3 linked regions of the Oryzias latipes genome follow. The protein of the gene in region 3 purifies or fractionates together with the protein of the main gene of each other region. This does not show direct contact. Links are inferred from orthologs where the notes say so. Each region holds a gene or a part of one and is shown on either strand. Other genes may lie near its edges. The genes, in order: anks3, anks6 and nek7.

What was found.
Region 1: the proteins of nek7 (region 3) and anks3 purify together in Homo sapiens (affinity purification with mass spectrometry; 3 studies listed by BioGRID and IntAct, with this or other methods). This does not show direct contact. The link is inferred for Oryzias latipes from reciprocal best matches to the Homo sapiens genes NEK7 and ANKS3.
Region 2: the proteins of nek7 (region 3) and anks6 purify together in Homo sapiens (affinity purification with mass spectrometry; 3 studies listed by BioGRID and IntAct, with this or other methods). This does not show direct contact. The link is inferred for Oryzias latipes from reciprocal best matches to the Homo sapiens genes NEK7 and ANKS6.

The regions. Positions count from the first base shown.
Region 1 is NC_019877.2:9,256,628-9,261,003, forward strand, and holds the start of anks3 (ankyrin repeat and SAM domain-containing protein 3), read right to left. Parts: upstream 2,935-4,376; 5' UTR 2,825-2,934; intron 2,787-2,824; exon of another isoform or gene 2,694-2,786; intron 2,626-2,693; 5' UTR 2,614-2,625; coding exon 2,447-2,613; intron 2,372-2,446; coding exon 2,173-2,371; intron 2,094-2,172; coding exon 1,972-2,093; intron 1,559-1,971; coding exon 1,477-1,558; intron 1,334-1,476; coding exon 1,216-1,333; intron 1,134-1,215; coding exon 984-1,133; intron 868-983; coding exon 751-867; intron 666-750; coding exon 556-665; intron 480-555; coding exon 318-479; intron 237-317; coding exon 112-236; intron 21-111; coding exon 1-20. Other genes in the region: c19h8orf33 (UPF0488 protein C8orf33 homolog), read right to left, coding at 3,824-4,035, 4,141-4,287. UniProt on the Homo sapiens protein: May be involved in vasopressin signaling in the kidney.
Region 2 is NC_019878.2:10,673,761-10,677,409, forward strand, and holds part of anks6 (ankyrin repeat and SAM domain-containing protein 6), read right to left. Parts: intron 3,546-3,649; coding exon 3,395-3,545; intron 2,351-3,394; coding exon 2,306-2,350; intron 2,227-2,305; coding exon 2,022-2,226; intron 1,902-2,021; coding exon 1,795-1,901; intron 815-1,794; coding exon 663-814; intron 1-662.
Region 3 is NC_019862.2:14,456,372-14,460,020, forward strand, and holds part of nek7 (serine/threonine-protein kinase Nek7), read left to right. Parts: intron 1-2,333; coding exon 2,334-2,442; intron 2,443-3,139; coding exon 3,140-3,247; intron 3,248-3,649. UniProt on the Homo sapiens protein: Protein kinase which plays an important role in mitotic cell cycle progression. Required for microtubule nucleation activity of the centrosome, robust mitotic spindle formation and cytokinesis.

The sequences.
Region 1 (4,376 bases), on a different chromosome or scaffold from region 3:
TACGTTTGGGTCCAAACAGCCTAAAGAGCATGAGCGGTGGAAGAACGGCGCCAAGTATGGATCAAAACATTATCCTGTCCGGATTGAAAGGATGAAAGTCGGGCATCTTACGTAATCCCTATTTCTTTAAGGTCATTTTCTGTCAGGGTGAGAAATATCCGCAGGTCGATGTCCTCTTTTTCAAGCAGCGGGAGGTATTTGGAAAAGCCGATCTGCTCCAGGAAATCCGCCAGGTCCTACATAATAGACAGAATTTATTTACACATCCGCATAGACAAAAAAAAAGGACAGAAAAATGAAGGCAAAGCTAAACTTGCCTTTGGGCCGTTGTAGGATGGAGGTGGAGCAGCACGTGTGCATTTGCAGTTGCCCGACCTGCTGGGAGGACCAGCACCAGTGTTTCCAAGACGATTCTTTCCTTTCGAGTGATGACTCTTTGCAGCTCTGCGAGAGCTGCTCCTTTTGCACGGATCAGAGTCCTGAAAACAGAACATGTGCAGTGACTACACGCAGAAGAGAAGCACATACAGAAGACGTTTATTTCAAAAATGTCACCTCATTACTCTCCAAGGAGCCTTCACAGTTGATCACATGAGGCAGGCCTTCACTGCTGCTGCTGCTGCTCCTCATGGTGGGCAGGTTGTTCTCAAAGAACGGGCTGTCATCTGCAGAGGTTACACCAAAAAACTCTTAACAATTTAAAAAAAAATAGGAAACCATGCTGTTATTCCTGGTAGACGGGTGTTTTACCTCTGCTACTGTGGCTCTGGCCGTCCAGCTCGTTGATTGGTGAAGTCACATCGCGATGGCAGAGGCCTTCACTCTGCTCACCCGGAAACATGTAGCCTGGCGCTACGGCTGAAGGCTCTGCCAGGAGAAAAAATTAGGATTGACAAAAGAATGAAGCCGTTTGCTGAACCATTTCCGATAAAAAAATAAAAAACAAATGGGGAAGCGTTCTGCAATAATTTCTTAGACTTTACCAGCAAGCTTGCTTGTGCCACCCACTCTAAACTTGGCGATGGCCTGGGGCCCATCGTGGATGCTGACACCTTTAGCTTGGCTTCGACTCGGTCGAATTCTCGGCGGACCGCCGTCAGAGTCCTCCGAGGAGCTGAGGTCTTCAAGGTGTCCTGATTAATATATGCAACAAAAAAAAAAGCTGTGCAATCCAAAACTTTGGGAATATAAACTAAAATGTTCTCCAAACAGTACCTAGTCTCATTCTTGGCAAACGTGAGTCAATGAGACTGACAATCTTGGTATAACCATAAATTGCGGCGAGGGCACGGGCCGTCTCTCCTTTCGCGTTTCGGTCATCAACTTTAACTTTCTGTAAATAAATTAGCTGGTCATGATGTGGGACAAGGCTCACTGTGATTCCATGTTCAATGTACGGAGTGTCTTATTTTGTTGGGTAAAACCCATAAAAATAATGGGGAATAAATGGTCTCAGCCACTAGAAGATGTACTCACATGGTCCAGCAAGTACTGAACAATGATTTCGTGTCCAGAAGCTGCAGCCTCCATCAGGGGAGTGAACCCTGATCCTGGCTCTCTGGAGGAAGAAAAAGGGAAATCTAAACTTTAAAGTCGCACTCCAGTTATCTTGAATGTTCCCAGTGGTCTTTTAATTATGATGATGCCGTTTTAAGACAAAATAAAAAAAACCTTCATCGTTTTCTAGGACATAGTTTCTGCAGAGCGACAGTGGTTCATTTGAAATTTGCCTCAGAGCTGTTGGATCAATTTGTCTGCAAGTGAATGCATCAGAATGGAGCAGAGCAGGGAGCTTGTGGGCTGCCCAGTAAAAAATATAATCATTTTTTCAACAATACTATTCATATGCTTCTGATTCAGCGATTTAAATTTAAATATCCAGAAATGCAAATTTTAGCTTAATTTTCCTTATATGTCCTCCATCATCGGAAAAATGCCACAAGAACATGTTAAAAACACACAGATACCTACTTCACATTGGCATCTGCATTGTGATCCAGCAGGAACTTGACCATCTGTTGATGACCTGTGCTTGTACAGTGAAACAGAGCCGTCCAGCCCCGAGAGTCTTTCAGCTCCAACTCAGCGCCGTGCTTTTAGATTGAAGGAGCCGTCAATCAATGAGGAAGCAGCTGGTAGCTTCAAAGGAACGGACGGAGTGGGGTTTCTTACCTGAAGCAAGACGTCTGCAATGCTCTCGTTCCCACAGCTGGCTGCCAGCATCAGGGAGGTTAGTCCTGTGGAGGTGGTGGAGTTGACGTTCACACCCGCCTCCAGCAGGAGATTCACGATGTTGTCATGGCCGATGTAGGCGGCATACATGAGCGGGGTCCATCCTCCGATGTTCTTTGCGTCCAGGTTCACCTCACGCCTTGAAACAACGCGTGAACTGTTAGGAAGTACGCGAGCTCAACCGGTATATAAGTAAAAATAAGGGGGGGCGTACGTTTGAATGCATTCAGCCACCACCCCGTACTGTCCGATGGAGCAGGCGGTGTGAAGGTCCAGAGGAACATTCAGCTCCTCCGATCGCACCAGGGGGTCACCAAGCCACAGGGAGAGGCTGGCCCCCAGCTGTTCCGACTCACTGGATTCATCACTTAACTCCGACATTTTCGTTCGTGCCTGAAATGAAGTAAAAACACGAAAACGTGGTGCTTTCCCTACGAAAACTAAATCTGTCCCCAACTTACTTTCTTTCTTCTTTGAGCTAAACTAGCATGGCGAAAAGGCCGTTACTCAATGCAAAATTATGTTATGACAATTTTAATGAAAAGAAGAAATCAATACATAAAAATCAACGTATCTTGAAATAAAAACTTACAGTCAGGAGTTGAATTAAGGCATCTGGAACCCCAAACTTTCTTTGTTTTGTATGTTACATCAAATCAGGCTCGTGCAGAAACGAGCCCCGCCTTTTCCGGTTAAAAAGCGGGGAAAACTTTTACTGGAAATTATTTTCGTCATAAAATTAAAAGAAAACATTTTTTTTATATATTTTGAAAAAAAGTATTAAATGTTTTACCTCAAAATAATGAAAGAAATTTAAAAAAACAGTTTTAAAAGTCGGACCCAAAATCCACAATTATTAAAACAAATAATTATTTAAAACAAAAAAGTAGTATTTTACCGCTTCATAAAGCTCTGTCAATCAACCTTTTTTCACTCCCCGTTGCAGACTTCAACAGCTTAGTTACAATTTCACCAACACCCTCTCTCTGCTCAAAGTTTTTTTTAACTATACCAAATGCTTAAAAGGAAAGCAACACAAAAAAACTACTTAAAACATAAATTCTTCATATGAATACTAATTTCTTCTAGCTTATGTCTGTGCCAAATAAAGAAACTCAGAAAAATAAATTGAAACACTTTTATTTTGAAATAAAGAACTTCAAAATAACAATGAAAACATTTGAATGTTCAGTTTCATATTTGTACACTACACAATTTTACTATGTCACCTGATTTAAGGATTTAATCACAAGACATCCTTAAATCAGGTGACTCATGCATTGAGTCACCTGATTTAAGGATGTCTTGTGATGTGACAATGCTTAAGTCACCTCATAAGACATCCTTAAATTAGTTTTTTTCTTTAGATAGGTTCAACAAAACAACAAAGTAGATATTAAGTTAGAGCAAACTCCTGCTCTGATATGCTAAATGTATTTACTTTGTAATTTTCTTGCATTTTGACAAAAATATCTTGAGGCAAGCTTTTCTTGATAAAAAATATCCTGAGGAAAGCTTTACTGTTTGGGTGTTACATAACAAGAGTTTTGAGAAAAGTCACAGAGTGCAAAACAAAAAGAAAAAAAAAATATCAGAAAAAATTGAAACAAAATTCCTCCTTTGAAGGAACAAAGAGAAAAGATGACGTCTCTGTGTGACACTGTGGTGTTGCATCATCCTGGCCTTCACGCTGATGCAGGTTCTCATCTGTTGACAGTTTCTGTGTTTTGACTCCTGCTCTTCTATGGAAAACAGATTTCTTTGGGGCCTCTGATGCAACTTTGACCTGAGCTGATGCAATCTCTATTGTAAACAAAACAAAAAAAACCAAACCATCACTTAACAATGCATCTGTGACATAACTTGTCACATAAACAACTTTTACTCTTTGCGTAACATTCAACTCACCTCCCTGAATGAGCTTGAACTGCCTTGTCCTCTCTTCCTCCATTTTTTTCCTGTAGTCTCCAGTCATGGCTCTCATCACCTGCCTCTTTTTAGCCAGAGGAGCTTTAGAGCTGCGCAGAGTTTTCAGGGCGCGAGATGCTTCTTCTTCTGCAGAGAGTAAAGACATAAAATCTCTAAGAAATGTAGGTGATGACCAGACCAAGAAGTATTAAAAGTTAACCAGCAGCAACTGAGTT
Region 2 (3,649 bases), on a different chromosome or scaffold from region 3:
CTAAGTATTTATTTGCTTTAGTTGCAAATCAAATAAATTGAAAAAAAATTGTTTTAAGAAAGAGTGAAATAAATCTGGGTGTCATCTGCAAAAAGGTTATCTTATTTACTATAAATAATTATAACAATAGCAGAGGATAAATTGAGATGACTTTCTAAAGGGGGAAAAACTCAGACCTACGGCCATTAAAGACCCATTCTGATGAAAATTGTGTTATTGTGACCTTTTTCTGTTGATATATAAAGAAATTAAACTCAAATTTGTTTTTTGAGTAAAATGTATTTAAATTGTGGTAAAGCAGGAGCAGATGAAAAAACGCAGTTGGAAAAAAAAGTGTGTTGAGAGAATACAGCGGGCGTGGTCCTAAACTCCCTGTTCGGGGCTCTGAGGAGGGGAAACGGGGTGGCGCCAACAGTCCCGACCACAACTCAGAGTTAAAGTTCTGATGAATTACTGCTGCTATCCAGAAAATATCAGCAAAAAAAAACCACACGGGCTTTTGGATTTGGGCTAAAAACAGCATAGTCATAATAAAAAAAAACACTTGGAACACTTAAAAGTTTCAAAAGAAGATCAGAGTGGGTCTTTAAAGAACACAACAGTTCTGCTTTTCTGGTACAATTTCAACCTCAGGTAACAGTAAACCTTCAAATCTTCTTTACCTTAAGGCCCCCCTTGTCATCAGGGGGCGCAGGGATGGAGGCAAAAGGCTGTCTGCTTTTAGAGATCGCAATGAGCGCCTTACCGCGCTGCTTCGACTTGTCCTTGTCAACCTGCATGCACACCGACGCTAGGAGGCGGACCAGCTCAGTGTCTGTGAGAATCGGGAGGAGGGGCCAACAAATGAGTCATAGTGAAACATGGACACAAACTGATAACAAGTTCAAATGTTTTAAGACATTTTCATGAAATAACAACACTACTGTCATTTTTCAGACAAGTCATAGCAATAGTAGACTGAAATCTTGCTCCAGGCTTTTTCTTTCACAGATCTATTGATTACGATATATAAAAAAGGACTTGGGGTCACTGAATTCTGGCCAGACACATATGATCAAATTTTGAATGGTTGTTCCCTGATTGGTCAAAGTTCAACCTGGTTGAACTGAAACCCGCATTCAATGGCAGTACTTTCAGGAAGTAGAGACCGAAAACGGTCAGAGAAACTTCCGTAGCTACGTGTAAGCACGCGAGTTTTGAATGCAGAAGCCGTAAACATGCGTTCACACATGTTTACATAGACTTTTCAGTGGATTTGTCGCGTCAACAGGTGTTGCAAAGAATGCAACTTAAGACTGAGCTTCTGCGCTTCTCCCTCTGTGTTGCTGTCAGTAGCAAAATTTGATATACACACCTACAGTGCCCTCTAGTGGTCTTTGCTTTTTACATTTTTCACATAAGTCACACCCACAGCCGGCCAAACAATGCCCCAAAAAAGTGGCATGTACTTTGAAATTACTGTATTTAAAAGATTCTCATTCATGACAGGCTTCATGAATGAGGGTAAAATAGGGCCTCTACTGCCCTGTAACTGCACTATATGTGCTTTAAATCCATATTTATCTTCATTTTACTTTACTTTTCTTAAGTCACCAGGACTGTAAAGTTTCATTAGGAAGACATTTTGCTGCTCATCTCAGTATTTTAATCTCTAAAAACGTAATAAATCAAATGATGATTTAACTATTAAGCATTGAGTCCTTTAAGTAAATATTAACAGACTGTTAAGAATCTTGTTTGCTGTTTTATTCATTACAGCAGGTTGGAAAGACGATCAGAAAGGAGGAAGCCTACCCGGATCATTGAGCAGCATAACCAGATCAAAGGCTGTGTATCCATTCTTGGCTCGAAGGTTGACGTCAGCGCCTTGACTCAGCAGGTACTTCACCACCTCTTTGTTGCTGGAAGAAAAAAAGCCTCTGTGCTTTGGAGCTTTATGTTGCCAAATATCAGTGCTAGTATCACATAAGAGCTCCAGTTTTCATTCAAATGAACTACCAGACCCCGAAACTCCAGCTCACCCGTGGTAGGTGGCCTGCATTAAGGCGGTCCACCCATGAACGCCGTCCTGTTTGTCTATGTCAGCGTTCTTCTCCACCATCAGCTGCACCACCTCCAGCTGACCGCTCACTGCAGCTATCATGAGCGGCGTCGCTCCCTCCTGGTTAGAGGAGTTCACCTGAGCCGGGTCCTCCTCCAGGATCTCTTTCACAAGCTGGGAGTTTCCTGAGAGAAGGTTAAAAATCCAGATGAGGCACTGATGAGAGCACCACCCATTTTTACGGAGCGTACAGACGGAGCTCACCCAGCTTGAGAGCGTTGAACACATCGGGTCTCCTCCGCAAGTCGTCTGTGGAGACACAGGCAAGAACCTGATATGAGTCCGTTTGGGCAGGAATCAACACGCTAGAAAAAGCTCCAGAAAGAAACTTTGTAGGCATTGTGATTTGACAGCAATGGTAAGAAAAGCTGTAAAAACATCAAAGAGATTCCTCATCACCATCTTCAGACAGACAGGAGGTGTCAACCCGTTCCCACAGCACTTACTGAGGGATAACTGGCATTTCCATACAAGCACGCTTCACCTGAACGTCATGTGCCGGCTGATCGAAAACTTCCTCAGAATCATATTTGTGAATTTGAAATGGTTAAATGTGCATTTATGAAACGTTGGAAAACTTCTTTTTATTTACTAATCTGAAAGGATGATGCTAGAAATTGTAGTTTTATGAGAAACTTTAGTCCAAAGTTCCTGTTTCAGGTGTCTGCACTGCTCTGCAGCCGCTGACTGTATGAGAGAACTGGACTGAGTGACGTCACCCATAAAAAAAATGGCTCACTTCAGCTCCAACTACATATTGTTTATTCAGTTGCCATGTTTTGGCGATACAGACCCCAACATGGTGGAGCCAGACAACATTAGCAAGCAATGATTGGTCCAAGTCGGTGTGAATCATTGTTTCTATGGCAACTACTCTCAACAATTAGGAGTGAGCTTGTTGGAAGGCCACACCCCCTAGCATTTGAAAGTGGGCTCGGAAGAGTCTGTCAATCAATCGTTTCCAACATTCAAAGTGAGACCACAAACGTATATCGAGGCATCTGATTGGTCAGTTTCTAACTTATAGAACTTGCAATAAAGAAAAGGCATCATAATAAAAAACTAGGATTATAAAGAACAAATTAAATGAAGGTAGCTGTGCCAGAATGGTTATTCTAACAAATAGAATAACTGAGTAATTGTTGTTTTTCAAGCTTTTTGATGCAGAAAACTTCAAAATCCGCTTTTTTGAGCTTTAGGAAAGTTAATTTAGATTAAGATATTGAGTTAAAAACCTGTTAGGAGGGATATTCTTGAATCTGTGCTTTAAAAACAGTTGAGAGGAACCTGCACCTGTCTGAGGTCTGACAGTGGTGATGGAGTCCAGATAGGCCTTGATGTCCCTCTGTTTTAACTGCATGGCGAGCTCAAAGGCAGTCTTGGACAGAACGTTGATCCGGTCCGGGTCGGCTCCGTGCTCCACCAGCTGCTGAGCCACAGCCACCTTCAGAACACACAGCAGCACGTCTTTTTACAATGTACCCCAATCACCAGAACCTGATTTTAAAGGCCCACTCCAATGACATTTTTCTTCTGGGGTTTTTAACA
Region 3 (3,649 bases):
GCAAATTAAGATAGGCGAAGATTAGTGGTACACGAGAGCGAACATGACAGGCTTGGCGCACACATGCACACGCTCATACACACATGCACACGCACAATTAAGCATACATATAAGGTACTTTGTAAGCAGGAAAGGTGCAGATGCGGCCAAAGAAACGCATTTCCTCAAATGTTCTCAGTTACTTTTTACAAAGATGTTACATGGCAGCTGAGGAGATTTGAAAACAAAGCAGCGTGTCGCTGTTACCTCGGTTTGGCGACTGAGAATGCTGTGAGCATCCAGGCTCTGTCGTATCACTATGTCTGCTGGGAACATGCAATCACACATACATTCATCTGCAGTGCACCATTTGTCTCCTGCACTGCTTTGCATATGTTTTTTCAGTGTAACAGTAGTAGGCCAGGGCCCAGACAGTCTCAGTCTATAGTAATAAAAGCATTTTTTGGTTTTTGTGCCACATGTAGCATCACCACCACCACCAACTACCCACACAACCCTTTAATTATTTTAATTTTTTTCCCCCCATAATGTATCCTCCTTTCTTTCTTTTCCACTTCTCTTTTCACTCACTCTGACCATCCCAGGATTCTAGCAAAAGCAAATGGTTCTTGATTTGCATGCACTTACAGAATATTGCATGTGCCGTGTTTGCTGTTAAAGGCATAAAAAAGAGGGTGTTGGTGGGTGTCTATGTGCTCCCCCATTGACATCAAACGGCCCTCTGATATGGAAATAGGAGGACAGGGAAAGAATGGCTCCTCACTGAGGCTTTGTTTGGATGTAGGCCAAAGTCTATCCCATCCTTTCTTCATCTCTCCATCTATTCCTATCCCTCTCTTTTCTCCCACACCTTTCTTCTTCCCTTTATGTGTCTTTCACTGTCACCTCAGCACTAATCTTTACTATTTTTTATGTTGTGTAACTGTTCTGTCATCTTTCTTTTTCATTCTTTCACATGTTAACTAAAAATAAAATTTTCTCTTGTCTAGTTGTATCCTAACCTGAGATAAACCTCAGATTTCACAGAGGGAAAATAATTAGCAAAATAACATTTTTTCCAATACATGTTTTTTAAAAGGGTAACTTTGAGTGTAGATTGTGTTTCCTCTCTTTAAATTGAGACATTCTACATTAGCCACTTTTGCAAAAAATCAAGACATAAATAAAAAGTATTGTTTAGGGCTGGGCGTCACCACCAACATACTGAGTTGATAGAAATTTACCTTTGGAGATGTCTAATTGGATATTCATTTAATACAGTTTAGTGTACCGGTACTTACATTCACACTCAACTCACCTTTTTGAACCAAGGGCCCACAGAACATGTTATCATGTGGTCAAAAAGAAGATTCCGAGCAATGATGAAGCCAAAACATTGAATTTTACAAACCCCTCCTGCATGATAACCAAATGTCTTTGGATGGAGAGAGATCCTTCATGATGATAACATGATTAGAGGGACAATCTCAGGTTCAAGTTGTGCATCAAAGGAAAGTGCCTGATGCCTTAAAAAAGTAAAATTGTGACAATTAGTCTTTGCTGTTTCTTTTTTGTCTGTTTCTATGTTTACTTACTTGTATATTCCTCTAAAATTCAGCACATTTGCCCCTTTTTTTTCCCTTGCAAAAGGCCTAGCTAAATGGGTAAATCTTAATTCTCGAGCAGAACTTTTATCCAAGTTGGCTTTAGTCCAGGCACTTCTTTCCGGGAACTAAAACCTCAAGAGCAGCCCATAAAATTGTTATTATGGCAATACTTAATACTGTTTCATAGTCTGCGCTGCTGTTGCCCTGCTGCTTGAAGCCCAAGCTCCAGTCATTTGTTGCTGGTTTAAGTCACTGCGGATCCATGAAACTCTGTCATTGCAATGGTTTCTTTGTGGAGCAGAGCCACTATCCTGATTATGGGGAAAAGTCAGTTGGTACTCCATTTAGATATTATTTGAGCTTTAAGAACAAGTGGAAGCACAAAACCACTGTAACTGAAGTCCTGTATGCCAGATGGGGGAGGTTTGCAAGGTACCACAAATTTCTTTTCCCTGTTCCTAAGAACACATGTGCTTTCCATTGTAGGCTGTAGAGAAAATAGGTCTCAGCTTGGTTAAGCAAGGGACAAATGAGAAGTTGTTCTGGGTTGCATTAGGACTGAAGTCAAACAATATAGGCAAGGTTACCACTTCAACCTATATGCATATATATATTATTTTTACCCTTTTATAATGTGCCCCTCAATGTGCTATCTACCATTTATTAAAAAAAAAAGTTTCATTTAGTTATGTCTATGGTTTGTGGTAATTTTGTGTGTTTGTGAACATGAGTGCTTCCTTATTGCAGCACTTCAAGAATCAGAGGAGACTTATCCCAGAGAAAGCGGTGTGGAAGTACTTTGTCCAGGTCTGCAGGGCGCTTGAACATATGCACTCTCGGAGAGTCATGCACAGAGGTAAATCATCATGTACTTTAATTCAAAAAACAAGCAAACTATGTTTTGATGATTTCTCAATCCTGATGCAACAAGAAAAGTCTGAAATGTGTGTTTTTCATAACAACGACAGAAGATTGATGTAATATCACCCATAAAGGACAGAATCATAGTTTTATCATAATAGCACTAAATATTTGTAACAAATTTAATTATTTTCTTTATTTTTTTGTAAAATGTTGTTTGGCATTCCCAAATTAAAGTAAATTACATTACAAGAAAAGAACTAACATTAGGAGAACTTGAGGATTTTTTACTGTGAACAAGTTCTATTAAACACATATCAGTTCAGCTGCCACTTAAAGCTGAAGTCCTGGATTCATGTTCACAGGCTGCTGCACGTTCCCAGTTCTAGGTGATAAACTTCCGTTTAGACTGTCTTTGATTAAGGTACAGGGACACTAATGAACCCCGAGCTCTGAACTTTAACAACCACTTAACGAGGCGGCCAAATCAGCGACACTTTACAATTATACGAGAACAGTCAATTTCAAAGGACACATTAACTTTCTCCTGAAAACAGATTGCAGACGCCCACATTAACGAAAACAACATCATAATGGCTTTAATCTAGTCATGTGTTTTGAGTTGTATCTAAAAAAAACAGTTAATAAAAGAATTATTTGTGGATTGTTTTTCCATTTTTCTCTTCTTGCAGACATCAAACCAGCCAATGTATTTGTCACAGCCACTGGTGTGGTGAAACTAGGAGACCTGGGACTGGGAAGATTCTTCAGCTCTAAAACAACTGCTGCTCACTCTTTAGGTAACTTGTTCAACTTGGTTAGAACAGATATGTTTAACCAGGCCTGGTGAGTTTGTTTACATGCATCATGCAGTCATTGTGGCTCCTCGGTGCTGTGCATTGCCTCCTCACAGGCCACTTTGCTGCTTCCACCTTTGCCCCTAACACAGATTAACCCTGAAGCTGCAGTTTTAATGCATTCATGGGAAGTAAGCAAGCTGCTTTGCTCTGGATTCAAGATGAATATCCTTTTGATTGGCCTGGGATTATAGAAAATAAGGCACAGTGCTTAAATGCATTAAATAGTAAACGGACCTCTCACCTAGTAAAAAGAAATTCATCTTTTGGTGTTATAAAGAGTGTTTGGTCTTTTTTTTCAGATATGGGATCCTTTTTTTTATTTTTTTATACTAGTTTCTTGTA